Linked DNA regions of Lonchura striata. The protein of the gene in region 2 interacts with the protein of the main gene of each other region in a pairwise test. Links are inferred from orthologs where the notes say so. Each region holds a gene or a part of one and is shown on either strand. Other genes may lie near its edges.

Region 1 (7,106 bases), on a different chromosome or scaffold from region 2:
GCAATTCTTGGGACCTTTTACACTAAATAGTATTGTAATTCAACAGGCATATCTCACTGGCAGACCTCATCATCTCACTCTAATTTTTATGATGCAGAAAACAGCAGGGAGCAGTGGCATGCTATGGATAAAATTCACATTAAGACAAAAAATGTGATTTACACACAGTAAACAGCCTGGAAAAACCCAAAATGCATAAAGCACTCATGATTTGAAGAACTACAGTGTAGGGTACAGCATAAGGCTGCAATTTAGATAAAAAATAAATTCCTATTATCAACTAATAGCATCATATTTAAATTAACTTTAAATAAGTAACATCTGTTCTCCCTTTTTACTTCCTCTCCATCTTATAATTTCTACTCCAGAAAACAAACTTCTAAGACAGAATTCACCAAGCAGACTAGAAACAGCACCAAGTACTAAATATCAAGCTTATTGGCCAGTCAAGATACAAAGCATAAAACAGCAGGTTGATATTTTCACCAAACAAAGGTTGGTATGAGAGGCAAAAAGGCCTTTAGGCAACTCTGTTCACTGTGCTGTTTGACCAAATAATCAAAAGTCCTTAGAACATCAATAAAATTAACAATCTCACAGTAATTTTAGAAGGTAAATGACTGTTACAGACAACAGCCCTAGGGGATGGAGGAAGTATTTATCTTAAATAAATCAAGGAAGGGTGTTTAAAAAGGTAAAATGCTACAGGTAAGGAAATATTGCATTTGTATGACTGGCAACAATTTCAATCTCTAAAGCAAAGCAGTACAATAAATAGTTCTGTGCATCACCTGCTAAGATAACATGACTCAGAAAGGAAAAGCTCACTGCTGTACCTACATATTGCTACTGCTAAAAGCAGAGGGTGATTGTAGCACAAGTCATTGCTTTTTATCTAAAGCACTTATTCCTCTGTAAATATCTTGTTAACAAATGCTTAATTTTGTGGAATTTAAGGTGAAGTGCTTTCATTGATGTTTAGAATGTGCCACCTTTTCAGCCTTAATTGCTTTGTATTGGGCAAAACCAGGTAATTGCAATAAAAGTCAATGCAAATAGTGGTGAATAAAATCTTCCTGCCATCCTGTATTAAAATAAAACTGAGCACAGTTATTTTTATCAATAATCTAATAAAAATTGTGTAATTTTAAGACAGGAGAATGAAAGTGTGTCAAGTGACTACTCATATAATTAAACACACCTTTTCCAATAGCATTTCAATAACATTTAACCTTCCACAACTCATGTGCATGTGAGCAGGGAGGGAAATAGCACTATGTGCATTTGCTCATGTCCTAAATAACAACCATAAACACATTTATATGATTCTCAGTCTCTGTCTTCAATTCCACTATCTGTCCCTGGTGAGCTAATGTAGAATTCTTCCTCTGCAGTACAGAAATTAAGTAAATAACTCAGCAGGAATAGCCAGACAGACAACAGTGCACCCTCTGGGCCCTCCTCTCTGCCATTATTGCTCTTTGCATGCCAACATCTTTTCCTCAGGAATTAATTTCCCCAGCATCTTCCTGTACATTACTGACAGCTTCCAAAGCTCCCCTCTTTGGTGGGATGTCCAATCCTCTTATTCCTGCCCTTCCTTTACTATTTTTCCTCCTTTTTTTACAGATTTTCAATCAGAATAACCAGCAGAGGCAGTCTACATGCAGAGGCCTGCCTCAATGGCAAACCAGCACTGCTGGAGCTGAACAGGAAAGCCTCTTCCCACTCCAACTCTGCACATGCCAGGAACTGTCTACAAAGCAGAAAGTTACATCCATCCTCCAACAGCCAATATCCAGCCCCCTCCAGAGCTTACACATGAGTTTCAGATCTCCAGCTCCAAGGTGACAAAGGAAGCAATTGCTTTTGGTTCTGCCATAACTACCTTTTTTTAAACAAAAACGGAAAGACTTAGGCAAACTGCAGTCAGAACATACACCCATTCCACATGCACCAAGTTCCCTGCCCAAACCACATCTGTCTAGTGGGAAGGAAGAGCTTCACCCACACCAAGAAAAGGAGGAGGTAACTAAAGGCACCAGCTTTTCATCTTGTCCTCCCCCACCAAAGCATTTGGAAATAAATGACAAAGTAAAAATGTCATGTTCTAAGCTTTCTAATAGGTAACACCTTTAGAGGTGCCTAGTTTACTTTTAATGATTTTCTCACAAAGTTTTAAGGGTTCAAATTATCATTGATCACCACCAAAAAGCTGAGGCCTGATAGCTGACTGGATATATAAGCAGTGCTTAAGTATATAAACTTAAGTATATAAACTTTATATACTTAAATCAGTGTTTAAGTATATAAACCTGTGCCGTTTAAGTTTCATAGCTAAATAATGAAGAAAGAAGCCACCGTAAAGAAATATACATTGTTTTGATCTAATAGAAATAGACATAAGCAGTAAAGAAAAGGTTTCGTTTTGGAGTAAATTTCCATTTATGAATATATATATTTCTGACAAGGGTTCCAAAGTGGAGTTAGCTTCACATAAAGCAATCTCACACTCTTATTTCCCAAACAATCTGCTCCCAGAGCAAAAACTAGATGTTCACCATATGAGTTTTCTGGTTATGAAATCTTTAGTTTGCTAAACAAGGCAAAAAAGGCAGAAGTGGACTAGAAGCGGAAATAATACATAACAGGACTTTGCTCCTCTGACACAGCACGAAATTCAGAGCCAGCCTGCAAAGGGCTTTGCGATTCACACACCAAGAGTCAGCGGGTGACGTGGCCTGGTGCCTTCATGGTGCTCAAGGCTCCCCCTGAGTCCCACCAGTGCAAAAAGGCCACAGCGGCTGAAAAAACCTTGGCAAGCTCACAAAGCGCCCATCTCCACGGAGCTGGCACGGTTCTCCTTCGCAAATACATCAAAGCCGAGCAGCTCCACACTCACCCAGCGCCTCGCGGGGCCGAGGAAGAGCGATTCCTTCAGGCACACCTGCGGTACCCGGATCCCAGCGGCGTCCTGCAGCCTCCCTCCCTCACAACATGGCCGGGATCCGCCGAGCCCTCCGGCCTCTGCTTTCTGGGCAAGAAAACAACGCAGAAAGAGCTGAAACAGCGGGCAGGGCGCTGCCTCCTGCCCGCCGCGCCAGCCTGGCAGCCTGCGGCCGGGGCGGCAGCGCGGGGGCCGAGCAGCGCCGCCTCAGCGCGGGGCTGGGCTGCGGGGAGCCACGGAGACCTGAGCAACGCTGCCGCCCCTGCTGGGTCCCGGTGCCGGTCCTGCTCCCGGTGCCGGCCCTGCTCCCGGTGCCGATCCCGGTCCCGGTGCCGGCCCGGCCCGGTCCCGCCCGGCGCCGCCGACGTTGCAGGGCGCGAGGCATTGTGGGCGCGCGGCTTAACCCGCTGCGGGCCGGGCCGGGTTCCATGGGATCCAGCTCCCCGTGCTCCAGAGAGGAGTCCAAGGGATTTGTTTCCAGCTGAAGTAAAGCTTTGCAGCGAGCCTTGCGGGCGCGCTGCTCTCCCCGTGCGGCTGCAAAAACGACCCCCGGGGTTTGTGGCTGGGGCTGCCCGTGAGGGTGAATTATGTGGAATGTTGTGGAATTCTGTGGGTTTTCCTCACACACCTATGGGTGAGAGTGCAGTGGTGATTTCAGGTGACGGCCCGTGTTGCTCCCAAGCTGGGGATAGCAGATGGAGGGGCTGAAGCTCCCCCAGCTTCACGTCCAGGCTGCTGTGGTCACAGCTGGAGCGCTGGGATGGTTTGGGGTACCCCAATCAATATATGGAGGAGATAAATCCCCTAAGGAGCATCCAAAGGAGGCCACAAGTTTGAGGAAGGATCTAGGGAAAGCCATTAGAGGGGTGGGTGAGGGTCCTTGCGTTGTTCAGCCTGAAGAACAGGAGACTGAGGGGAGACATCATTGAGGTTTGTGCTTCGTCATGAGAGGAGCTTGTTATAAATGAGAATTTATTTAGCCAGATTAAAAATAAAAATAATTTTATTAGCTGTCAAATTCTATCTAGCCAGCCACACAGAAAGGACAGAGCTGAGCCCGGGGTCGACCCTGGGTGTGCCACAAGGAGTCAGCCTCAGCAGAGGTTTTCTCCTATGCCCACACACCTCCATCCTGGCACAGGCGGTTTTTATAGAGAAAATTCCACCTGAGGCCAAGATTTTAGCAATCAGTCCTTTCTTCTATTCAGAGTCCATAGATTAATAAGAATTTCTTTTTTTGGTGATGAGGAGAAATAATTCAATGTCCGGAGTAGGTAAATTCTTGTTGGGAGTTTACAGGAAGGCTGCATCCACATGGATCTGTCTGAGTATTTCCATGATGTCCATCTCAGACGATCAACACCAATGATGGCCCATCACCCAGCCGAGCCACATCCTTTTACTTGTAAATCAGTTTCCAATATATACTCAGTCTCGCCTGCAAAAAAAAAAAAAGGGGGGGGGGGGTTGGAACTAATACAACGGGCATGATTTAACAAGTATCCAAATTACATATTTCATACAAGGAATGGCGCAAATTATATTTATTACACATAACAAGCTGGAGGAGCATCTCTGCTCTCTGTTGACCAGGGGTAGGACACAAGGGAATGGTTGAAACTGTGTCATGGGAGGTTTAGGTTGGATATTATGAAAAGGTTCTTCCCACAGGGGGTGGTTGGGCACTGAACAGGCTCCCCAGGGAATGGTCGTGGCCCCAAGGCTGCCAGAGCTCAAGGAGGTTTTGGACAATGCTCTCAGGGATGCACAGAGTGGGATTTGGGGGTTTCCTGTGCATGGAAACCCCAAAAAGTCTGGGTTGGACTCAGTGATCCTTGTGTGTCCCTTCCAACTCAGGACTTTGTCCCCAGAGATCCTCCCAAAGGTGAGGGTGGATCAGATGGAAAGAGCACCCAGAGTTGCTTTGTGGTGCTTGGAAGCACAGGCCAGGCGAGCACATTTATGCTATTGCTAACTTCTTTTTAATCATCAGCTGTGGGCACAGGGCAATGATTTAGTGTTTACATCTGAATCCCACAGAGACAATACGCTGCTCATTTCGGTGCAACTCCTAGTCTGGCCTCTGTACTTAATAAGTAGGCTATTATCTGACTATCAGCGCACAGGAGATTAACAGGAGCCATTTTCATTACCATTAATGGTGGCTACACACATAATGCCCTCACATCAATGAGAAGATAATGGGCCCTTAAGTGTGCGTTGTGTAAGGCTGACAGAGGAAGGGGTATGAAATATAAAGCAAACTCGGCTTAAATAACTTGCTTTTCCAGTTAAGGAGAAAGTAATCTCTTCTCATAAGCACCATCATTTTCTGGTAAACGTGAACCAACAGGCAATGAGGTTCCCATTACACAAATGCTGTGTTACAGGGCCTAATGAGCATATTAATCTTTGTTTTTCCATATAATTGGTAGATAATCCAGGGATTTGTGTAGGCCTTGGCTCTGCAGTGGTTCTGGGTGAATGTGTGTGCTCACAGCCTGAGCCAGGAGTCATCCTCAACCCCAGACACAGTGAGCAGAAAAGACTCACCTAGGTAAGGGCTGCAGGACAGGCCTGTCTGGTGAGCAGTAGGAATGAAAGGATGCCACAAACATTTGTCTTTCTCAGCAAGCAAATAAATGTGTTCCATTCCCTGGCAAGTGTGATTTGCACTGTTCCAGGAATTTGGGATGGGGGCATAGCTCTCTCCCCATCTCTGCAATGTGTGGCAAATGTCTATTCCGAGATAATAGATAATGCCAAGAAAAAACATTTGCAAAGGCAGCCAGCACTGCCTTCCCTACTTGTTCTCTTTATCTGCTTATGAGCTGTTTCTAGCTTGAAACTAAATGACAAATATTTTTAGCACAATTGCCATTGTTATAATTGTTATGCCCAATGTCAAGAACATATGAAACATGATGATAAGGAACAAATTACAGCATAAAATAATACAAGGCAGGCACAGTATCCTTGAGCTGTTTTCCATGTTGAGATTTTCCAGATAGAAATCATTTTGCTTGGCTTCAAAAGGACAATATGCAAACATGTAAAGGTCAGTCTGATTTGAGAGCACAGAAAACAGCTAGAGCCAAATTCTGCAGAGATTTCATGAATAAGTTCACCATAATTGCAGTGAAGAAGACTAATAGCAAATGGAAACTTACTAAGATGAGCTACCTAGTGTGCAATTTTGCTTGTAAATTAATGATGGTGTTGAAACTTCTTAGGAGAAAAAAAATCTCTGGAATAGGATTTAAACCAAAGAACATTCATTTTCACTTTTTTCTGTTTTACACATTTACTAAACCCTTTATAATCTATTAATAAGACTAGATTTTGGTTATTAAATATTACAGTCCTTGGCATTAATGAAGCGGCATTACCTCTTGGTTTAAACCACACAAAAATACCTGAAAAATTCTCTTCTAGAATAGCTGAAAGCCTGAGCTTCAAATAATAAAGGGAAAAGCCTTTCTGGACTTGTTTACTGATGCCTATGTGGGCTGAATTACAGCCCTCACTAGTAGCAGCACTTGTCATGGACCGAGAAACTGTGAATTTTTATTGCCTTTTTCCTTCCCAACACACCTGAGATGAGCCACTATATCAGGATGTCACAACACTTAAATTGAGGAAGAACAAGAAGAAAACCAGATCCCGTCTTCGATAAATCTAGTTAATAAATCTGAGGAGCAAGGAGGGAGGAATGGACCTGTTTGTATGATAAATGTCACCACTGGAGTTCTGCGTTGTCACTGTGCGTGACTCATGTAACTGTGTGAACAAAGTACACCTGTGAATGTAAGAAGTGTGTCTGTAACTGTGTGAGAAATAATGCAACACCAAACTCAGCCCTTCTAGCACCAGGAGAAGTCTGGTTAACTGATGGGACTGTGGTAACACCCTTTTCCTGCAGGATTTTTTGGTACTCCTGCTCTGAGTAGCACCCTGGGAACTGCAGGTTGTCACCTGAGCCACCAAAGGCTTCACCTCATTTTCAACCTCACAAGCTTGAGAGTTCACAGTGACTATGGGGAGGGTCTTATTTTTGTAAATCTCGACAGAAAATTTCTACTAATCTTATGTCACATAAAAAAAATACTAGAAAAATTGTATGTGACATATTTTCTGCCATGGGATGAAACACCAGTTG
Region 2 (7,414 bases):
CTTGTTTTGGGCAAATATAAGGAACCCCCACCCTTGTCCTTCTCAGTGGAGCAAGACGCAGCTGCCCTCATCCCACCCAGGGGGACAGGAGACGTGTGTGTCCTGGGGGCACAGGGGACCCCCGTACCTGCTCGAGGGGGCAGCACCCCCAGGCCCCTGAGCTGAGCCTGCAGCACGTGTTCCCATCGGGACAGCTCGTCTCCTCGTCACACTTGACCTCACCAGCTGGGGACAGGGGACAGTCAGGGCTGGTGTCCCCTCCCCGGGACAGGACAGGGGGTGGTTGCTCCCTGAGGGCGTCTTACCTGTGGGCAGAGCTGCTGGGGAGGCAGAGCCCCCCAGGGAGGTGCAGGTGGAGTGGATCAGGTCACAGGTGGTGCCCTGGGGACAGCAGTGCTGCCCGTCACTGCAGCACACGGCCTGGGGGGAGAAACAGCATGACACGGGCCCCAGATGGGCACAGGGGGGGCACAGCATATGGGACATGGTGTGGAGGTGCCCTTGGGACAGCAGTGCTGCCCATCACTGCAGGACACAGCCTGGGGGGAGAGATATGGGGTGACAGGGGCCCTGGGGACAAGGACAGGGTGTGCACAGCACGTGGGGCAGTGCAGGGTGCCTGGTATGGGGACATGGCACAGGTTGGGGTGCCCAGGGCCCAGTGTCCACCACAGGATGCCCAACAAGGTGTGTCTGGTGTAGGATGATTGGGACAGGCTGCCCAAAATAGGGTGCTTGGCATCACTGTAGGGTGCTTGGAATTGGGATGTCCAGAATGGGGTGCCTGCATGGATGGGTACAGGATGAGTGACGTGTGTTGGGGTGTGGGGTGCTGGTTTGGAGTGCCCAGTGAGGGGTGGCTGGATTGGGGTGCCTGGCACAGGAGTGCTTGGTTTGGGGTGCCTGGTGGAGGATGGCTAGGATTTGGTGTCTGGCATGGGGTGCTTGTTTTGGGGTGTTCAGTGGGGGGTGGGGGGTTTGGGGTGCTGGGCACAGATTTGGCACAGCTGCCCATCCCAGGGTGCCCAGGGCTGTGCCAGCACTCACGTTCTGCAGGGGACAGCAGCCGTACTGCCCTGGGGACAGCTGGCAGCAGGTGGCCCCATCGGGACACGCCGAGCGGCCATCGGGACACAGCACCTGGCGCAGCGCCACTGGGGGGACACACGGTGTCACCACGTCCCCTCCCCTGGCACAGCGCCACTGGGGGGACACACGGTGTCACCGCGTCCCCTCCGAGGGCCCGGCACAGTGAGGGCACCCCCGGGCACACCCCTTACCTGGGGCAGGGGGCAGGCGCTTCCAGGCGGGGAAGGCTGTGCCCAAGGGGATGTCGGTGTCACCGGCGGGGGACACACAGCGCCCGCGGGCCAGGTCGCAGATGGTGGCGTGGGGACAGCAGTGCACCTTGTCAGCACAGCACGAGGCCTGCGGGTGCCAGCCATGCTCGTCACAGCGACGGCCGTGCCAGGCCCCCCCCTCAGCGTCCCCGTGTCCCCACACCCCGTACCTGGGGCATGGGGCAGCACCCCCAGGCGCCGCTGCCCGTCACACAGCACGTGGCATCATCGGGACACTCGGACTGGCCGTCAGGACAGGGGACAGCACGGGGGGCTGCGGAGACAGGTGAGGCACCCCCGTGTCCATCCTGTCCCCTTGAGGCCCACCCTGACCCCCGCCACCCCCCCGTGTCCCTGTACCTGGGTCTGTGACACAGGACTCCCCATCAGTGCTGCAGCGGGACCCTCGGGGACAGCAGCGGTGGCCCCCGGCACAGGGGACACTCTGGGGAGAGAGAAGGGGGAAGGAGCGCAGGGGGGTCAGGGAGTGCCCCCCAAACGGCAGGGACAGGGGGAAACTGAGGCACAGGGGAGGGGGCTCACCTCTGGCAGCTGGCAGTTGGCGGGGCAGGATGAGCGGTCCTGGCACCCCATTGCACTGCGGGCAGGCAGGGCCTGGGGGGGCATAGGAGGGGTTATCATCCCCTGCTGAGGCCCCTCCGATCCCCCCAAACTCCGTGCACTCACCGGGGTGATGGGGCAGGGTCCCCCCTGGGGACAGGGCAGCTGGGCCCCCGCGCTGGCCAGGGCCACCCACAGCAGCAGGAGGGTCCTCATGGCTCTGGGGGCACCTGCAGGAACCCCCCGGCCTCAGTTTCCCTTCTCACTGTGCGGGCAGGCAGTTCTCAACTTCTTCTTTCAGCCATGTGTTGGGAAAGCCCCATCCCCCCCTTCAGCCAGCTCCCCCACCCCGGGGTGCTGGGGGCACCCACGGAGAGCGGGACACCCTGCGGTGTGTGGCACCCCAACCGCGCCCCGATAACATCTCCCTGCGGTGCCGGACGGGCCCGTCCCACAATCACGGTCACGGTCACGGTCACGGTCACTTTCACTTCCCTTTCCCCGCTGCGGGCACCTCCCGCCCCGCCCAGCGCGGCCACGGGGGCTGTGTCCCATGGGGGGCTCGGGGGGACCCCGGTGTCACTGCACCCCCACCCCTGCGACCCCCCCCGGGCAGGGCTGGGCTGACCCCCGACATCGCCCAGCAGCAGAGCCGGGGCTCCCAGTGCTCCCAGTAACTGCAGTACCCCCAGTGCTCCCAGTAACCACAGTGCTCCCAGTGCTCCCAGTATCCCCAGTGCTCCCAGTAACGCCAGTGCTCCCAGGGCTCCCAGTACCCCCAGTGCTCTCCCATGACTCCCAGGACCTCCCGGTGGATCTCAGTGCTGCCCCATGATTCCCAGTGCCTCCTAGTTCCTCCCGTGACTCCCAGTTCCTCCCAAAGCTCCCAGCACCTCCCAGTCGTCCGTATGACTCCCAGTAGCCCTAGTGTCTCCCAGTGGCCCCCGTGACTCTCAGTTCCTCCCGAGACTCCCAGTTCCTCCTGGCAGCTCCCAGTGCTCCAAGTGCTCCCGGTACCTCCCGGCTATGCCCGTGTGTCCCAGCGCTCCCGGTCCCCACCAGCGCTCCCGGTCCCGGCCGCAAGCCCCCCCCACCGCTGGCCGCAAGCCCCGCCCCCACCGCCCATTGGCCGCCCGCCGCACCCGCCGCGCTGCCATTGGCCAGCCCGGGGTGAGGGGGCGGGCACGGCGGCCGCCTCACACCGCCACGTGACGGGCGGTCACGTGCCAGCCCCCCCCCCCCTCCGACCCCCTGGGGCTGAGGGCGGCGAGAGCGGGGGGGGCTCGGCCTGAGGGAGCGGGAGCGGGGCGGCGACCCCGCAGACCGCCCTGCCCGGGACACGGACCCACAGAGACCCCGCAGACCGCCCTGCCCGGGACACACACGGACCCACAGACCGCCCTGCCCGGGGCACGGACCCCTCTGTCTGCAGCCTGGAGCACTCCTGTGTGAGCCCCAGTTCCCCTCTCACAGGCAGAGACACCACGAGGGCACAGACCCCTCATCAGGGCACAGAGCCCATCAGGGGCACAGAGCCCACCAGGGGCACAGAGCCCATCAGGGGCACAGACCCCTCATCAGGGCACAGAGCCCATCAGGGGCACAGAGCCTACCAGGGGCACAGAGCCCATCAGGGGCACAGATCCCCCTGCCCGGGTCTCAGGGTTTTGCCCCTTGGTGTCTTGGAGCTCTCCAGACCTCGCTCCCAGGGCAGGCAGTAGCCCCAGTGCCTCCCAGGCCCCCAAATCCTCCCCAACCCTGCAAATTTCCGTCAACCCCCTCCAGTCCTCCCCAACATCCCCAACCTTCCCAAAACTCCAATCTTTGCCCCCCAACTCCCCCATCCTCCCTGCCAATGCCCACAAGTGGCCCTAAATCCTCTCCAAGTCCCCTCCAAGCCCCTGTGCCCCAAAGACCACTTCAACCTCTCCAACCCTTCCCAAAACTTCTAACCTTCCTTTCCAAGTCTTTCCCACCCCCTCCAAGCTCCCCTAAATCCCCTCCAATGCCAATGCCCCTCCAAACCCCCTCCACCTCCCCAAACCCCTCTTCCAACCGATCCTAAACATTCCCTTAACTCCCATTTCCCCTCCTACACCAACTCCCTCATTTGCCTCCAAGTCCCCCAAATGACCCCCGTCCCAGGAAATTCACTCCAAAACCTCTTCCACTCTGACACCCCCTAAACCTTAAAATCCCCTCAACTTCTTCAACTTCCTCCAAACCCTTCATAAACTCCAAACCTCCCTTTCCAACACCCCAAATCCCCTGCAAACCCCTAAACCCCCTCTGATCTTCCCAACCCTTCCAAATCCCTTTCAGCCCATGCCAACCTCCCTCCACACTCCCTTCCCAGCCCCCAGCGTCTCCTTAGACCCCCAAATCCAATTCCCACTCCAGCACCCTGAAATCCCCTCCATAACCTTCAAACTCCCTCTCAAGCCCCCCAAAACAGTCCCTACTCCCAACCCCAAATCTGCCTCCAACCCTCCAAACCACTTCCAGCCTTCCCAACCTCTCCAAACCCTCTCCACACTGCCTCCCAAGTCCCCCAAACCCTCTCTAGACCCCAACCCCTCCAAACCCCCAAAATCCCCTCTAGGTCCCCCCAACCACCTACCAACCTTCCAAACCCTTCAAAATCCTTTAAAACTCCCTTCCAACCTTTCTCCACACTCCCAAGTCCTTCAATCCCTCCCTAGACCCCCCAACTCTTCCAAATCCCCCTCCAATGCCCTGAAATCCCCTCTAAACCCCTCAAACCCCCTCCACAACTCCCTCCCTAGCCCCCCAACCCCTCCAGATCCACCTCCAACCCCACAAAATCCCCTCTAAACCCCTCAACCCCCTCCACACTCCCTCCCAAGCCCCCCAATCCCTCCCTAGACCCCCAACCTCCCCTTCAACACCCCCGTTCTCTCCCCAGACCCATCTCCATGCAGAAAGCACAGCACCAGCCCATCCCAGAGCCGCCCGTGCGGGGCTGGGGGCACACGGGGCCTTTATTGGGGTCAGATGGCTGACTGCTCCTGGCGGGGGGGCTCGCCGGGGCCCGGCGGCCGCTCGGGCTCGGTGGCCATGGCAGCCTGGCGCAGCACGGCCATGTGCTCCTCGGCGGCCGCCAGTGACCGCTCGACCCAGTGGCGAGCGGCCGGCTGGCGACAGGCGCTGCGGGTCACCAGCACCAGGTGACTGACCGACAGCAGCAGCGCCGCGGCCCTGCGGGGACACGGGGCTCTCACTGCCCTGTCACCTCCCTGTCACCGCACTGTCACCTCCCGCCCTGCCCCATGGTGGCTCCCTCAGCAGCAGTTTGCCTCTGGTGACCAGGGATGGGACCCAGGGAATGGCCTGAGCTTGTGTCACAGGGGGTTTGGGATGGATCTCAGGAAAGGTTCTTCCTCCAGTGGTGCTGGCACTGCCCAGGCTCCCCAGGGTATGGGCACAGCCCCGAGGCTGCCAGAGCTCCAGGAGGGTTTGGATGGCGCTGCCAGGGATGCCCAGGCTGGGATGTTGGGGTGTCTGGGCAGGGACGGGGGTGGGACTGGATGAGCCTTGGGGTCCCTCCCAACCTGGGATATTCTGGGATCTGCTCAGACCAACGGGCCTCCCTGTCCTGCTGGATGACCTGGGCTTGTCCCCAGAGTGGGGTTGTCCCCAGAGGTGCGATAGGTGATGTGGGGGTGTCCCCACCCACAGGTATTCCCCACCCAGGAGAGTCCCTGTCCTTCTCGCCACTGTCACCTCGCATCCAGCAGTTTGGGGTCCAGCGGGGGGTACATGGATCTCACAACGTCATCCACTCTGCGGTGGGGACAGCGTTAATCCCAGGGGACACTGGTGACACCTCCAGCACAGCCACCCCAGGCCTCAAGAGCTCTCTTGGAGCCCTGCGACCTCCCTAGAGCCCCAGGATCCCCCTGAACCCCAGGACACCTCCCAGAGTCCCAAAATTACCCCAGGACCCTGGGATGCCTCCCAGAGTCCCTGGACACCCCTAAAGTCCCCATGTTTCCCTCCAGAGTCCCCAGGGTCCTTCCCAGTGCCTCAGGACTCCCCCCAGAGCCCTGGGATGTCCCCAGAGCCCCCAGGACCCCTCCAGACCCACCCTGTCCCAAATCTTTGGAGCCCCTCCAGAGCCCTGGAATTTTCCCCCCATCCCTGTAGACACCCCAGAGCCACAGGACCCCACCCAAGAGACCCCCCCAAACATCCCGTCACCTGGGGCTGATGCGCTTGGCCACCACGATGATGTCACCCAGGCTGGCTGGGGACTTCACGCGCGTGCCCGAGCCCATGGTCATGGCCACCAACTTCTCCGTCAGTGTGTGACAGATCTGGGGGACAGCAGTGGCCATTCAGTGCCCATCAACACCAGTGCCACAAGTGCCACCTACCATCAGCACCAGTGCCACCAGTACCAACAATGTCACTACTGCCACCATTACCACAACTGCTGCCCACCACTGACACCAACATCACTAGTGCCACTGGTGCCACCACTGCCACCAGCTCTACCAGTACCACCAGTGCTGCCATTGCCACCAGTGTCACCCGTCCCACCAGTGTCACCACTACCACCAGTGCCACGCCCTCACTCACCTTCAGGATGGCAATGCAGTGGGACACCAGACCCCTGTGGAGAAAGAGGGTGTGAATCCACCTGTGTCCCCCCTGCTCTGTCCTTGTCCCCTGTGTCTCCCCTCTTCTGACATCCCTTGTCCCCCAGACCTGTGGGGATATTCCCATCCAAGACCATCTTGAGGACCATCCCCATGGCTTGGTGACCTCCAAATCTGTCCCCTACATCCCATGATGGGGGGCTGGCACTGCACAGGGGTCCCCAGCAGTGGGGGCACTCACGAGGCATCCTCGACCCAGTCCTCGTTCTCCAGGATGGCCTCTATGTGGGGGTTGGTGATGACCACGTCATCCAGCTCCAGCTCCGAGGGCTCTGACGGTGTCTCCATGGTCCCCATCAGGTCCACGATGGGTCTGTCAGAGACATGGGGGACATCCCACCAAGGGCCACCTCCTTGGGCTGCCCCACAGCCCCAGTGGCCCTGATACTGGTGGACGTGTCCCCATCTTTGTCCCCCTGGTGATGTGGATGTGTCCCAAACTGGGACAAGATGGAGGCATCTTCCCTCTGATGATGCTGGACATTGCCTGCATCATCCCCCTGGTCACAGTGGCTGTGTCCCCATCTTTAATCCCTGGATGATGTTGGACATGTCCCCAGCTTTATCCCTTTGATGATGGCTGATGTGTCCCCATCTCTGTCCCCCTGATGATGGTGGATGCGTCCCCATCTTTGTCTCCCCGATTACCGTGGACATGTCCCCCAGATTGTCTCCGTGATGATGCTGAACATGTCCCCAGCACTGTCCCCAGCCCATGGGGGTTGAGGTGCCTCCCTGGTGGGGACAGGGACACTGCCACCCCCGTGGGTCACTCACTTGGTGTCGTAGTGGTGGCGCAGATCCTTGGGGTGACAGTAGCGCTGCCTGCAC
Region 3 (7,833 bases), on a different chromosome or scaffold from region 2:
CCCTCTCCAAAACCCATCATTTAGGGATGCTGCTCGCACAAGGACAAGTGCCTTGTGGCGATGCTTTCAATTCTGCACCTTCTAGGGAAGATAACACACTGTGGAGCTATTTTAAGAACATCTCATTCACAAAGGTCTCCAATTCCGTCTTCAGAGACAGAGAGGATTTTCTTGCTGCTTCAACGTCTTTACTGGCTTGACATTTGCTTCAGAGGGAATTCATTTGCTGTTCCAACATCAGAATGGAGCAAGAGCAGCTGCCAGGAGAGGGATAAAAGGAAACACTGTCGACAAAGAGCAGCAGGGTCATTTCTGGTGCAAAGAAATATAGAACAGAGAGAACCGCAGAACTGACACTTTCTCCAGAAAGCAGCAGGGGATAAAGATGTCCCCTCTGCCTCCTGAAACCGGTGTTTAGAAAGGGACTAAACAATCAGCTTTAACTTTGTAAATGACTGATTATTACAAACCAACTGTAAGCACCTGAGCATTCCCACTTAAAGCCAAGTTCATGCTTAAATGCTGCAGTCAGCAAAGAACTCAGTAAGTCCTTCAGAACTCTCAAAAGAAAACAATTCTGGCTAGAAAGCTCTGCAGAGCACAAGCTCAGTGTTTGGGAGGTGACATTTTTTGGATGATTTCAAGCTGCAGTGCTAATCCTGACCATCATATCTGTATATGGAGCACACTGGACAGATTTGGGGCAGGGCTGTGATCCCACCACAATAAATTGTTCTGCGAGAACAGAGGAGGCTGAGGGTCCAGGGAAGGAACACAGGTACCCGTGGAGTCTGATATCCACCATCAGGGAGAAGCGCAATCTTGGATGACACCATCTGTCCCTCACAGCAGTTGTCCCCCACCCCATCCCAGGCACATCATGCTGCCCTGCTGCAGGAAGCTCCATTCCATCCTTTAATTGCTCTCCAAGGCAGTGCCACATTCCCACAGTGCTGCTCTAAAGAGTCACCCTGCCTGCTACCTGACTGACAGCCTCACAACAGCTCACCTGCTCGGCTGGATTACTCGATTCTTTTCCCTCTATCTTATTAAAACGTTGCCCTGAGCAGGGCAGGGACTTGTCCCTCATTCCACAAGACAAGCAGACCCTGCCCTCCTCCTACATGAAGGAATATTGTCATCCTTTCAAAAGTTAAGACAGAAACCTTTATACACAACCAAAATATTCCTTCCCCTGCTCCTCTCTGAATTTTATTAATGGAGGAATTTATTCTTTTCCAGTTTCATGGAGAAAAGGTTTTGAAGACAAAAACTCTGGAAAATTATTCCTTGCGAAGAAAAGGGCTAACATACTTGAACAGCAATTTTAATCCCATGATATTTTGTGTACATGCTTATTATGTTACACGTTAGGATCACAGTTTATTTGGAGTGTGGTATTTATCTGACTAACCAAACCTGCTCAGATCCATAGGCATGAGTACCATGTTTCTGACACCTTAAAGGCTCCAGCACCAGGATTTATGAATTAAGTATTTCCAGGGTGTTACAGAATACTGAGGACTGTATCTGCAGAGTGTTATATCAGGGTATGTGTGGGCTTGTCAAACACCCACATGATAAATTATCAATAGTGCAGCTCAGAGCACCCCTTTTGTGGATCAGAGACAAATCTGTGCATTTTATTATGCTTTGTTCCACTTAATGTTATTATTTTCTGCATTAAAGGTTCACAAAACCCTTACATGCCCAAATGCTGAAGGACATTCACACACAAAAAATGATCAAAAGACTTATTCTAATATTTCAAGTCCTGTTTTCACAGCTAGTTCATGTGGGACAAGGAAAAAATGCTGACAAGTTATGTCTGGAACTGGACAATTACATTTTATATTGTTCAAGATGATACAATCTTTTGCGTAGAATGTTAAGGTTAAAACACTACTGAGGAGCATTAAAGAAACAGGACTAGCTGATTATAAAGTGCCTACCATCCCTTGCCTGTATGCAGAGCACTGTCAGAGATTATAACTCTGCAAACCAAGTGTCAAATCTGAGAGGAAAATAAATCTCTCAAGAGTCAGAAAAGACTAAACTTGAAGCAGTGGATTTTCAGAAATGAACAAGCGTGAGCCCAGCATTTCTGATGCACAATATTGACTTTTACATGCAGCAACAGACCTCTGTTGAGGAAACAAAGGGTCTACTAGGCGAGCACTTTGCAAGTTTCATGTTTTCCTTACTACCCTTCTGTTTTTTCCTTACGCATACTTCCCTATGAATCAACTTGATCTTGTCCTCCTTAACCTGCCTAAAAAGCAGTTGAACTGAGAGCTTTTAAGTTTCACAGTGTGAAGAGGCCAGGAACATCAGTTGAAAGTGTTTATGAACCCAGTGTGCAAGTCAGATACACTGGTGAGGGTGGGCCACCCAACGCTGGCACCTGACAGAACTCCATATGGGCACCAAGATAAGCACATCCCTCACCAGGCTTCACCTCACAGAGCAGGGCTGCTGCAGCTTCCAAGGGCAAATAGAACAACATGGCTGTAGCATTTAGTGCATCTGGAAACGATAAAGTGGGTCCCAGATTTTACCCACACTTCACAGATGGAAGCTGGGGAGCACGGTTTGGAGTGATCTGGTCATGGACTGCTAGGAAACATGTGCCAGTGCCAGGAGTGCAAACCCTGCGCTTCTCCTGCTGCTGCTGCTGAGAACCCACTGACATGACAGCATCTAACAACACTTTCAGGGTACTTCTAAGGCAAGACACTTATTTACCCAGTGAAGTACCTAACTGAACAAACAGTTAAGGTGACACTGTGTTTAGACCTGAATAGTGGCACTGAGACACTGACCTGCAAATACACTGAGAACCCAGTTTCTCATACAAGGATTATTGGGCCACTGCTCCCTTTTACTACTTGAAAAGGTTTTGCAGAAGAGAGAAAAAGAAAAGTCCATAATGAAAATGTGTGGGAGAGTTTTAAAAACCTTGCAGTCTTGCCAAGACAGCCCTATGCCCTTTTGTACCAGCTTCCTTCCTTCTCCCCCACACCACACCTCCCCAGAGCCCCAGGGGAAGCAGAAACCAGGAGAACCCTTGGGGTGTGCCATATTCAGACCCGGCTTGTTATCAGCTCCAACAGAAACCCCAGACAGCTACAAATGTGAGTTCCAAATAAGTATTCTGTCTCTTCTTCCAATAGGTAATATAAAATGGCTGTAAACCAAAATTTGCTTGTTTCTTTTTTTCTTAAGTGCAGTCTGTTTTTAAGATGGTGACATGACAGCAAAACTCTGATATAATTCCAGACTGGACTATTAATAACCATATTTCCAAATGCAACAGGGATAGCTTTAACAAAGGAGCCCATCTTCAGTCCTGCAAGACTTTTCTTGATTACATTCTCAAAGAGCAGGCAAAAATTACCCAACTCCCATTGTTATAAAGTATCCCCAAAGTATCAAACCCATACTTGCAAAGATTTTGCACTGAGGTTTCAGGAGTCACAACAGGCTGTCACATTTATACGCTCTCTTCCTCCCCCTGCAGAGGAGCCTAATGCTGTCCAGTCTTCAGAAACAAACAGAAAGGACAGATGACAGGACTGCACCTTCAGGGATCTTCTGGTAACACCTCAGCACTGCAGCTGTCCTGTCACAGCTCTGCTGAGCTCTTTTCCTGCCCAGACAGGAGCCAGGGGCAGCGAAGGAGAGGCTCAGCTCCCTCCCAGCACAGCGAACACATCCCCTGTCAGTCACGGACTGCCTCCGAAATGCTCAGTTCAGTTACCTGAAAGAACCTCTTCATCACCCTCACGGTAATTTAACTCTACCACCATGGGAAAGGCTCCAGTAACCTGGGAGAGTTTTTCTGAAGTAAAACTATTAATCAGATATGATTAATATTCGCATGAGAAAATGGAAGGTGTTAAAACTTTTTTTTACCCACCCCTGTGTTTCAGGGAACACTGATGCCTTACCCAAAGACACTGCAGTCCCCAGGCATGCAGATTCATAGCGTGAGGGAGCTAAAACAACAACCAAAGGATATTTCGGTCCTGGTTAACACGTACCTGGCAGTGTCCCCTGAGCGTGTTCTGAGCACGCTGAAAGGAGCCTCGCAGAGACTGCCTCGGGCAATGGGCCACGCTGCTGGGAGCACTACACCCTCTCATTAGCGGTTTATTTCTCTTTCCTGCCAAGGGGAGCCCACGCACGGCGGGACATGGTGCCACAGCCCAGGGGCCCCGCTGCCAGCCCCGCAGTCGCCGCTCTCCGGTCCTCAGAGACTCGAAAAACAGGCCCCAAAACCCCACAGATCCCCTGCCCTTGGCGGGCAGCCCCCGTCGGCCCGCCGTGCTGCGGGACCGGCCCCGGCGGCAGGGAGCGGGCGATTCCCGAGGGCACCGTGACCCGGGCGGGAGCAGGGTGGGCACAGAGGGAGCTGCGGGGGCAGCGGAACCGGGCGGTGTGAGGGCACAAGGGCACCGGGACCCGGCGCGGCCGCTCAGCCCGCCCTCAGCGCGGCTCGCGCTCCGCCGCCCCCTCAGCGCCCACGGCGACCCCGCGCGCGCCGCGTCCTCACCTCACCCCGCCCCGGGCCGCGATTGGCCCCGCCCGCCGTCCGTCAGCAGATCCCCTCCGCCCATTGGGCGCCTGCCGCCCGTGGGCGGGCGCAGCGGCCGCTTCCTCATCCGTGATTTGCGGAGCGGCGGCTCCTCCGCCGCCCACCGGCTCCGCCACTGGCGAGGAGAGCTGTCGGTCGCGCCGCCGCCCGCCTCCCCGTGCCATTGGCCCAGTAACCTCTTTTCGGGCTTTCGTTTCTCTGCATTGGCTCATTGGACTGGACGGGCGGCTGCGATTGGGCGAAGAGCGGCTCCCGGGGGCGGCACTGAGCTCAGGAGCAGCGTCCATTGGCCGGCGGCCCGCCGTGAGTGGCAGGAGGGTGAAGGAGGCGGGCCCGCCCGGGGTGAGGGTTGTGTGAGGTGAGGGAATCTCGCGGGGTCTCGGCGGCTCCGGGCGCGGCGGCGCGCGCTGATTGGCCGGCGGGGTCACGGGGGCGGGGCCGCGCCGTGGAGAGGATGGGGGGGGGAGCTCCGCACGGCCGCGCGCGGTGGGCGGGGCGCGCCGGGCGCCGCGCGGCGATTGGTCGGGGGCGGCTCTCGCGCAGCCCGGCGGGCCGGGCGCGATTGGCTGCGGGCGGTGTCGGGCGCGCGCCCCGCAGGGGGGGGGGAGCGCGTGCCCGCGGCGCGGCGCGGGGCGGCGGGACCAGGTGAGAGCGGGGCCGGGGCCGCGGCCGGGGCCGCGCGGGGCGGGCACCCGGGGCCGCCCCCACACCCTCCCGCCGCCCGCACCGCGGGCCCCCTGCCCTCCACCCCCGGCCCGACGCCCCCCGGCCCGCCCGGCCCCGCCCCGCCGCGGGTCGCGCTGTCAGGGGCCGCTGCGACCTGCCCCGCGCCCCCTCCCCGGTCCCGCTCCGCCCCGTCATTCATTCGCCACTTTTCCCCCTCCTTCGCCCCCCCCTCCCCCCCGCGATCCCTGTCCTGCCCCGGCCCTTCCCTTCCTCCTTCTGTTTTTATCTTCTTTTAGCCCCCTTGCCCCCCTTTCCTCGCCCTGCGCCGCCCTCCCTTCACTTTCTCTGGGTCCTTGTGTGTGTTTCAGGCCTTCAAGGAAAAGTTGCAAACTCCCGAGTTGTTGCTGCTGTGAGGGAGCAGGTGCCTGGAAGGAGGGAGCAGGTGTCTGGAAGGAGGGAGCGATGTAGGAGGTGCCCGGGCGCAGGGAGGTTCGGGGGACACATGGAGAGGGTGTGGGAATGGCAGGGCTAGGCTGGCCAGCCCTCGCGGGGTGTTCAGGGCACAGGCTCCGAGCCCTCCCTCCGGAGGGAAGGGGGATTGATCACGGTGTTTAATTTTTATAACAAGAAAAACAACAAAAATAACCAAAAGTGAAGGAAAAAACCCACCCCGGCCCCACCCAGCTGCCCAAGGATGGAGTTGGAGTAGCCAAGCCCAGCTGGATGCTGGGGAAGGGGTTGGCGCCCGCACACATGAAGAGACTCCCCGAGTTGTTTGGCTTCGCGAGGAGATAAGGCCAGTGGAGCTCCATGTTTTTAAAGGTGGGCCGTGTATGATGAAACCCAACTTCTTTTAAAGTGTAGCAGATTTAATTTTTATGGCCAAATGACAGCTTGACCCAGTTGTTATCCAATCAAAGGGCATTTTTTTGAATGTCTCTTTGTGGCACAACAGCCAACGCAAAAATGATGGCGGCTTACAATGGCGGTACGTCTGCGGCAGCAGCAGGTCACCACCACCACCATCACCACCACCTTCCTCACCTCCCTCCTCCTCACCTCCATCACCACCACCATGCTCAGCACCACCTGCACGCCGGCTCGGCGGCCGCGGTGCACCCCGTGCAGCAGCATGCCTCCTCGGCCGCCGCGGCCGCCGCAGCCGCAGCCGCCGCCGCCGCGATGTTGAACCCAGGGCAGCAGCAGCCGTACTTCCCATCCCCGGCCCCGGGCCAGGCCCCCGGACCGGCTGCAGCAGCCCCAGCTCAGGTACAGGCTGCAGCAGCTGCTGCAGTCAAAGCGCACCATCATCAGCACTCACAACATCCACAGCAGCAACTGGACATTGAGCCGGACAGACCCATCGGATACGGAGCCTTTGGTGTTGTCTGGTGAGTAGAGACAAAAGTGAACCGATACCTCCTTGTCATTCTTTACCTGATCATAACTCATCCTTGTTTTTGTCATTGGAATCAGAATACAAGAGAGCTGCTTACTAAGAGTTTTTTTGCTGGTTCTTCTCCGTTCTTAGAAAGTTGCTTCGCTCGTTTGCGTTGGCAGAACAAGGTTCCCAGTGGTGAGGAGCCACCTCTGACTAACAGGCCACCCTGCCGTTCTGAGACAATACAGCTTATTTATGCCCTTTCTGTACCTTTAATTAGAGTGTGCATCCGTGCAGCTAAGCCGTGCTTCCTAAAATTTCAGGTTAACAAATGAGCACTGGAATATTCATTTTGACCTGGCTTAAGAGTCGGAAATGAAAAGCGTATGAAAATGTCTTCCTTGTGCAGTCACCTGTCAAGATCTTTGTCTCACGGCGGTTTGACCCGCGGTAGTGCTGTGTACTACCTCAAACAGCACAGCTGAACTCTGCTCCCCTCTCAAAAATGGAAATGGGATTTCCTGCCTCGCTGTAGCTCTGCCTCCGGCCCTTTTATCCCCCAGCCGCGTTTCAGAGGAGTCTGTCAGCGGAGTAGAATCTCTCCTAATGCATTTTATGACTACCTTAGAGCCATGTATGTAGTTAGTGCCCTTCAGGAGCACTGACACAAAGCTGGCAGCAGTATATGTGCATTTGTATATAAATGTTTGTTGGCGTGCCCTGTTCTGAGCTGTGCCTGGGAAGCATGAAGGCTGGCAGGGGGCTGTTCTGGAGAGCAGGCGTGTTGCAGTGCACTTCCTGCAGCACGAATGCAAAGTTTGCAGCGTGCAGCTGTGTGTGGTGTCCGAGCCCCCTGCAGCGTTCCCAGCCGAGCCTCTGGGGTGCCCCAGGAGTTTTGCTTTAGGCACTGGCCGAGCTGCAGCTTCAGTGAGACGAGTGGCTGGGTCACGGTGTGTGCCAGTGCACGGAGACAAGAGGGCTCAGCAGGGCAGGCCTCAGGAGAGCAAAACTCCTTCTGCCTGCAGCCCAGCCTTTCAAGCTGGCCACACATCACCAGCCCAGTGCTGGTAGCAAAATGGTGCTTTCTGAGAAGGCTGAGGGAGCTGCAGGAGTGAGGTGCAGGTCAGTGTTGTGGTTGCTCCCGTGTGCCTTCCCTCAGAGCTGGGGAGTTAATTTTAATGCTGAGTTC
Region 4 (6,101 bases), on a different chromosome or scaffold from region 2:
TAAGCAGAAACAAGATGAGGCAGAAAAGAATGCAATTAAAGCCCTTGTAGAATCTCAGCAGGAGGCACTGAAGGAGCTGCAGCTGGAATCTGAGGAGCTGTACCAGGCAGCAATCCGGAGGGACGAGGAGCTCTTCCCCTTCCAGAGGGACGGACCCAGTTACACCCCTCCCCTTCCTGGCTATGATCCCCCGGAAGGAAAGTGCACTGACATCACCAAGGTGTACACACAGTGACAGGGGAGCTCCTGCTTCAGCTGCCACGAGGTGCTCAGCGACTGAAGGAACAAAGATTGGAGTAATAAACACTTCTTCCTGCAGGTTGCAACACTGCAGGATATGACTGTAAATAAAAATAAATGAAGTATCTCTGTTTTAATGACTATCCAGGTAATAACACACCTAGCAAAGCTACACAACCTTACACAGTGGCAAAACCAATTTTAAAATTCTTATATTGCCATGTAACTGTTGTTTGCCCTAATACAAACCAGATCTCTCTCTACATTCACTTAAACTTTTATTTTTTAGTAGTTTTGAATACTGTCACAACACACACCACCAATCAAGAGCAGTTCCACAGAGGGGCAGTTTCAGGGTGTGCAGCCCACAGGTGAAAAGCTGTTCAACTACCACGGCCCGGATTCTGGAAAGTGTCTTTTAAATGCCAGTGTTTGGGATTGTCCTGAGCCTGCAAGGAACAGTCCCAGCTTGGGTTTTTTCCCCCATCTGGCAGGCCTGGGGTGAGTACCTTTTTCCAGAAGTGCTCAATGCCAGCTGGTAGAGCAAGAGCCCCTCAGAGCTAGAAAGACATCTTGAAAGATGCCTGCCGAGATGAAATCCTGAAGTGTAAGTCAGCAGTAAAAGCCCACAATCAAATTAAGCACCTCAAATCTCCCTTTAAAAATATTCAGGGCTTAAATAAAATTTCAGAATTTTTAAGCGAGTGCTAAAGTATTGTAGGGCAGAGCAACAGTTGAATAACTTCAAGATGATATGGAAGGTAAAAAAAAAGTTCAGCATAATTCTGAATTGTGTATTATGTTACTAACCAAACACAGAAAACAGTCTTGTTAATTTGATTTGTCATGGTCAAGTGGTAGATACCAGTCAGGTGGGGGGCTCTTCCTGAGCTTCCACACTGGAGCATATTTCTGTTTTTCCATAACTCGAGCTCTTTCACTCTTGCACAAAGCTTCCTGAAATACAGGAAAAAAATATTATCATAATAGTGCTAGATGTTCCAGTTATACAGAGCTGATTTCCTACTCTGAATAACTGAGATAAAAGAAATAAAAATTTATCATGCTTAAGCAGAAGTGCTAAATGTTATCTACGTAAACCAGAATACAAGCTTTTAACTAAGTCATATTTATATTTTGCCTCTGGCTCTCAAGTTACAAAGGAAACTCGCACTGCTGTGGAACCCTGCGGAGCCTGTGCCGCAGGGCTGGTGTCGCGCAGTGTCCGCGGGGCTGGAGCCAGGGGCAACTCCTTTTCCCTGTAACGTGGCGGGTTTTCCTTTTAGGAAGGAAACGTCAGAGTATTTACAGCTGAAAACACTCCCTGGATCCTCCACTGGACTTTAACCTGCCCACCTCCGGCGCCTGCTTTCCCAAACCCTCCCCAAGCCCCGCGGCCGCGGGGTTTCGGTCCCGGCGGCCCTGGAGCCGCGGGCGGGCCGGGAGCGGGCCGGGGCCGGTACCTGCGCGGCGGCGGCGCGGTCCCTCTCCCAGGCGCGGCAGGCCTCGTAGTCCTCCCGCCAGCGGCCGCAGTCCGGCAGCTCCCCGTGCGCGTAGTAGTGGTGGAAGGCGTGGCGCAGCCCGCGGCAGTGCTTCCACTCCCCCCAGTAGTCCTCGCACGAGCGCGGCGGCTGCGGACGGACATGGGCGGGGAGCACCGGGTCCCGCCGGGCCGCACCGAGCCCCGCCGGGCCGCACCGAGCCCCGCCGGGCCGCACCGGGTCCCGCCCGGCCCCGGCCCCGCCGCCCCCCGGCCCCGCCGCCCCCCGGCCCCGCCGCCCCCCGGCCCCGCCGCCCCCCGGCCCGCTCACCCGCCAGGAGCCGCCCGTGCCCGCCATGCTGCCCGCCGCCAATGGCCACCGCGCTTACGGCGGCGCCCGCAGCCGCGGCCAATGGCGAGCGGCGGCACAAAGCGGCCCCGGGCCCGGCAGCCAATGGCTGCGCGGCACGTGACCAGCGCAGGCCGGGCCGGCCCTCGGCCTGGCCGGAATCACCACACACGGACGCGGCTGGGAACGAGGAACTTTACTCGGAGGAGTAAAAACTACGCAGGGTTGCACCCGGGTACGCTCGCCGGCAAACGAGAGGGCGCACAGGATACACTCGCACCGTTCCAAAGCGGGCAGTACAGCTGCGTCCCTCCTCTCCCTACACGTGCCAAGAGATTCCTACGCTACATTATAGTATTTGAACTATTAAAAGGCATGTTATTAATTATAAATATAAAAAGCAATTACAGGGGGGTTGCTTAGAATGATTAATAACCCAACACCTGAAGCTAAGCTCAAAGAAACTCCCTGCACTAAAATCCTAAACACCAAAGTCACCCTTCATTTGCACCACACCAAAAAGCTGATCTTAAATTGTGGCAAAATATATATAAAGGGAGGAAAATACCAAGCACAGAGCAACATGAGATCATCATAACTCAGGAGATGAGGGGAAGATGTAGTCTAACTGGACCCTTAATAAGGTAGAGCTTGTTGGTTCTGCTTCTCAGGTTTACCACAGATCTGCATTCCCTTCTTTACAACACATACAGAAAGCTTCTTCCAAATTCCCAGAACTTAATTTTCAGCTGAAAATTAAGACAGTCTGACAGCTCCAGATCTAAACATGAAACCGAAACACCTGTTAAGTGCTCCTGTGTTGCAAAACAATCTCTCAACTGCAATTACTAAGATCCAAGATGCTGCACCTGTTATTTTATTTTCTCCCTAACTAGCTGAAGGTACCACAACTTAGGGCTTTCTTCCTTTTTTGCGCAGGGACTGGCCTTCTCCTGAAAAGGCAATAAACCGGCTTCCAGATTCATCCTGGAAAAAAGAAAGGGAAAAAAGGTTTTACCTCTTGGCTCACTGCTTTTGTATGATGAAAGCTGAACAACTGTTAGCAAGAATGCTCCATCAGAGCAGCCACTGAGTGTAGACATTTCACATCCTTAATTTAGATAAAAAGCACTTTCTGAAAATAAAATAGTAGCATTTTGGTGACTTTTCAGCCAACTGGCTTAATAAACCGACACCAGGCCAATCAGTAACAAGGACATCAGAGGTTGCTTCACATGACTCAAACCATTCTAAACTACTACCACTTTTTAATGGAAGCATGCTGTAAAAAAATCAAGGGGAAAGACAGAGGGACCAGACTTGCATCTTAGTTCTAATGTTCTAATTCCGTGCAAAACTGGGGAGGATACAACTTCATATACCTCTTCCACTTTCTTGACCAGTGGACGTGAATTCCGAATGAATGTGATTCTACCAATCTTGAAGTCATAGTTGGGAATTCCTCTGGAAAAGAAGCATAAAAACATTATGTTTTTATACTGTTGAATTTTCCACACAGAGGCCTATTCTGAACTGGACACAGAGACAACTACTCTGTGTCTGTCAGTGTAATACCAACACTGACTGCACATTTTCATTTCTAAATAACTCCAGAGTTAAAGCACTGAATTATTTTCTGAAGATAGGCACAGATTGCAGAAGTAAATAATCAAATACTGGAGTTGTTGTGGAAGCTTGTCCACATGTATGTTTCTACTAGCCTGTGGATAAGAAAGACTTTATTTTCTAAGGCAAACTCATGACAAAATTAGTTAGTTTATATTACAGAAGCAGGGAAAAAAACCCAAACTCTGCTCAAACACTATACTTCACTGGCTTACAAGTGAATGATACCTTCGGATGTCTCCTGGTTTAATTGGTGAGGGACTGGGCTCCACACCTTTCTTCTTGCCATCCAATCTGTTCCCAGATCCAGAGAATGCCTGTGGATACATAATCAGTTTTAATTGAACTCCTGGCATTTGAAAGCACACTTCACAAGGACATTATATCTGTAAAATCTTACAGCAATTTTTATTTAGTTATTTAACTCAGCATGATTCTTTTTGGTACATATAAGCTGATGAATCATGGGTGTAGGAGTCTGTTTCAACCTCTCATCTGCCCTTTGCAGAGAACAATTCATGCTGCTCCTGGCTGTGATGACACAAAACATTCACAGGCACTTACCAGTTAAATAACAAGCATCTATAAGAACAGGTACTGATATTTTGCAGTTGTTCAGAACAACTTTCCCTCACCATTTTACAGGATTCAGAAACCAGCAGAAACAGGGCACTTACACGAAATCCTATATCGCTCACATACCCACTGTGGTCTGCTTCCACATCCTGTGAGGGGAAAAACAAGTTCATGTTGTTTGTGTTCTGACATGCACATGCCATGAAAACTGTTCCAAGTATTTCTGGCCAAACAAAACTTCAGAACAATCACTTGTCAAACCAAGACACTTTCTTAAAACAACAGTTGGTAAACACCAGTCCCCTAAGTAACACATGCAAAGGCTTCTGGCAAGTAAAATTTACTCTACAGAACTTGTTTAAATAAAAAAAAAAAAATTATGTTGGCACTTCCCCCACAGTCAACAGTGACTTCTAGGGGATGCATTTTGGAAGAACAAAAGTTTAACATACTGCGGTCTCTTCATGTTGTGCACTTCTTTCTGGTTCTTTGTATCCCAAAGGAGCATCAAAATCCACCTATTTACACAAGAAGCATGAAAAAACCCATTATTAATATTTTTCATTAAATCATAAGCTTTATACTACTATTCCTCAAAACTTCATGAACTATTACCACTGCGTTTGAGCTAAAAAGAACTAAGGTTTGGTTGTTAAACATTTTAACTCAGAACTAAAAAAAGACCAAGCCTACTAGGAATTAACCTTAGCATGTAATGGAAACAAAGCAGTAAAACAGCTCCACAATATCACTGGAGTGTGAGTCAAGACAAGGCTATTAAATAAAACTCAGATAAAACATGCCAAAGTTAAACATTAAATTCTAGGCATGGTAGTCACCTGATGGTGCATGAAGTACTAATCGGGATCACAGAAGGGGTTACAAAGGCACATGAGTACTCCCAAGTGAGTCATCTTCCCCACCCCATGGATTGCACCTTTCTTGCAGCATCAGCTGGGCTGGGTGTGCAGAGCTATCACTGCCTTCCCCTCTTGGGAGGACAGTTAAGGCAGGCCTTCCCCATCAGCTTTAACTTACATTCATATCACACTCTATGATGGACACAGCCTTATCTGGTTTGGTCTCCATTACCCGAAGCTCATAGATCTGAAACAGTCATAGATATTTCAAGATTGCATTATGTGTAAGGAAAGCATATCTAAACCTTCCCCTCCAGACCTGAAGTAAGTACTCTTTAGGTTGATAAGAATAAATATTGCAGGGTCTCTACAGAATTTAAAAGCAAAAGTTTTTAGAAGCCAGAGAACCCATTACTGCACCTTGCTGCACTCTTACTGTACTTTAACCTCCATTTTTGAAAACAAATTCTGAATTTAGGATAAATTCTTTCCCTTCACTTGTGAAAACTTCAACAGCACAAACATTTATTTTCTTGTGAGTCCAAAGAAATTTAAACAGCAGCTCAGAAAAAGACTTAGCTGACTCCTTTTTCCCTCCAACAGAAAGCCAACTGTGAAATCTGCCACGTGGGATTACTTGTCCAAAACACTGCATAGCTCTGAGTTGATTGTTTTAATACCAACATCCAACACTAATAGTAGTCTACAACCCTCAACCTTACACTGTACCTTTTCATTGTAGTTGATGGCAATCACATCCCCAGTAGTTAGACAGGCGAAGTTCCTCAATGCATTTTCCAGTCTTTGCAGTATGTTAAGATGAAATATTTATTTTCAGTGAAATATCAAAGCCTTAAAATCACCATACTGTAGATCACTAATCCTTAGTTTCTCAAACATGGTTTAAAAGCCATCAGTGCATATAGGATTTTAGGATATATAAATTCTTCAAAGGGGGACTCAAAACTCA

The links.
Region 1: the proteins of GRN (region 2) and ARFGAP1 interact in binary tests that used the Homo sapiens proteins (3 or more experiments, as listed by UniProt). The two-hybrid records come from large-scale screens. The link is inferred for Lonchura striata from reciprocal best matches to the Homo sapiens genes GRN and ARFGAP1.
Region 3: the proteins of GRN (region 2) and NLK interact in binary tests that used the Homo sapiens proteins (3 or more experiments, as listed by UniProt). The two-hybrid records come from large-scale screens. The link is inferred for Lonchura striata from reciprocal best matches to the Homo sapiens genes GRN and NLK.
Region 4: the proteins of GRN (region 2) and C18H22orf39 interact in binary tests that used the Homo sapiens proteins (3 or more experiments, as listed by UniProt). The link is inferred for Lonchura striata from reciprocal best matches to the Homo sapiens genes GRN and C22orf39.

The regions. Positions count from the first base shown.
Region 1 is NC_134619.1:6,100,651-6,107,756, reverse strand, and holds the start of ARFGAP1 (ADP-ribosylation factor GTPase-activating protein 1), read right to left. Parts: upstream 3,019-7,106; 5' UTR 2,903-3,018; intron 1-2,902. UniProt on the Homo sapiens protein: GTPase-activating protein (GAP) for the ADP ribosylation factor 1 (ARF1). Involved in membrane trafficking and /or vesicle transport.
Region 2 is NC_134627.1:2,567,690-2,575,103, reverse strand, and holds the start of GRN (progranulin), read right to left. Parts: upstream 3,002-7,414; 5' UTR 2,919-3,001; intron 2,913-2,918; exon of another isoform or gene 2,795-2,912; intron 2,132-2,794; 5' UTR 2,118-2,131; coding exon 2,028-2,117; intron 1,956-2,027; coding exon 1,884-1,955; intron 1,786-1,883; coding exon 1,701-1,785; intron 1,615-1,700; coding exon 1,511-1,614; intron 1,429-1,510; coding exon 1,281-1,428; intron 1,155-1,280; coding exon 1,048-1,154; intron 421-1,047; coding exon 306-420; intron 226-305; coding exon 128-225; intron 1-127. Other genes in the region: TMEM98 (transmembrane protein 98), read right to left, coding at 4,913-5,120, 5,646-5,705, 6,123-6,238, 6,504-6,537, 6,765-6,896, 7,361-7,414. UniProt on the Homo sapiens protein: Secreted protein that acts as a key regulator of lysosomal function and as a growth factor involved in inflammation, wound healing and cell proliferation. Regulates protein trafficking to lysosomes, and also the activity of lysosomal enzymes.
Region 3 is NC_134622.1:11,202,488-11,210,320, forward strand, and holds the start of NLK (serine/threonine-protein kinase NLK), read left to right. Parts: upstream 1-4,813; 5' UTR 4,814-4,955; intron 4,956-5,186; exon of another isoform or gene 5,187-5,242; intron 5,243-5,631; 5' UTR 5,632-6,196; coding exon 6,197-6,654; intron 6,655-7,833. UniProt on the Homo sapiens protein: Serine/threonine-protein kinase that regulates a number of transcription factors with key roles in cell fate determination. Positive effector of the non-canonical Wnt signaling pathway, acting downstream of WNT5A, MAP3K7/TAK1 and HIPK2.
Region 4 is NC_134620.1:7,537,826-7,543,926, forward strand, and holds C18H22orf39 (synaptic plasticity regulator PANTS), read right to left. Parts: upstream 2,139-6,101; 5' UTR 2,079-2,138; coding exon 2,052-2,078; intron 1,872-2,051; coding exon 1,704-1,871; intron 1,198-1,703; coding exon 1,072-1,197; 3' UTR 502-1,071; downstream 1-501. Other genes in the region: MRPL40 (large ribosomal subunit protein mL40), read left to right, coding at 1-235; UFD1 (ubiquitin recognition factor in ER-associated degradation protein 1), read right to left, coding at 2,982-3,056, 3,452-3,533, 3,924-4,012, 4,373-4,420, 4,724-4,789, 5,310-5,378, 5,861-5,933. UniProt on the Homo sapiens protein: Negatively regulates long-term potentiation and modulates adult synaptic plasticity. Stabilizes the interaction of RTN4 isoform A/Nogo-A with its receptors, inhibiting clustering of postsynaptic AMPA receptors at synaptic sites.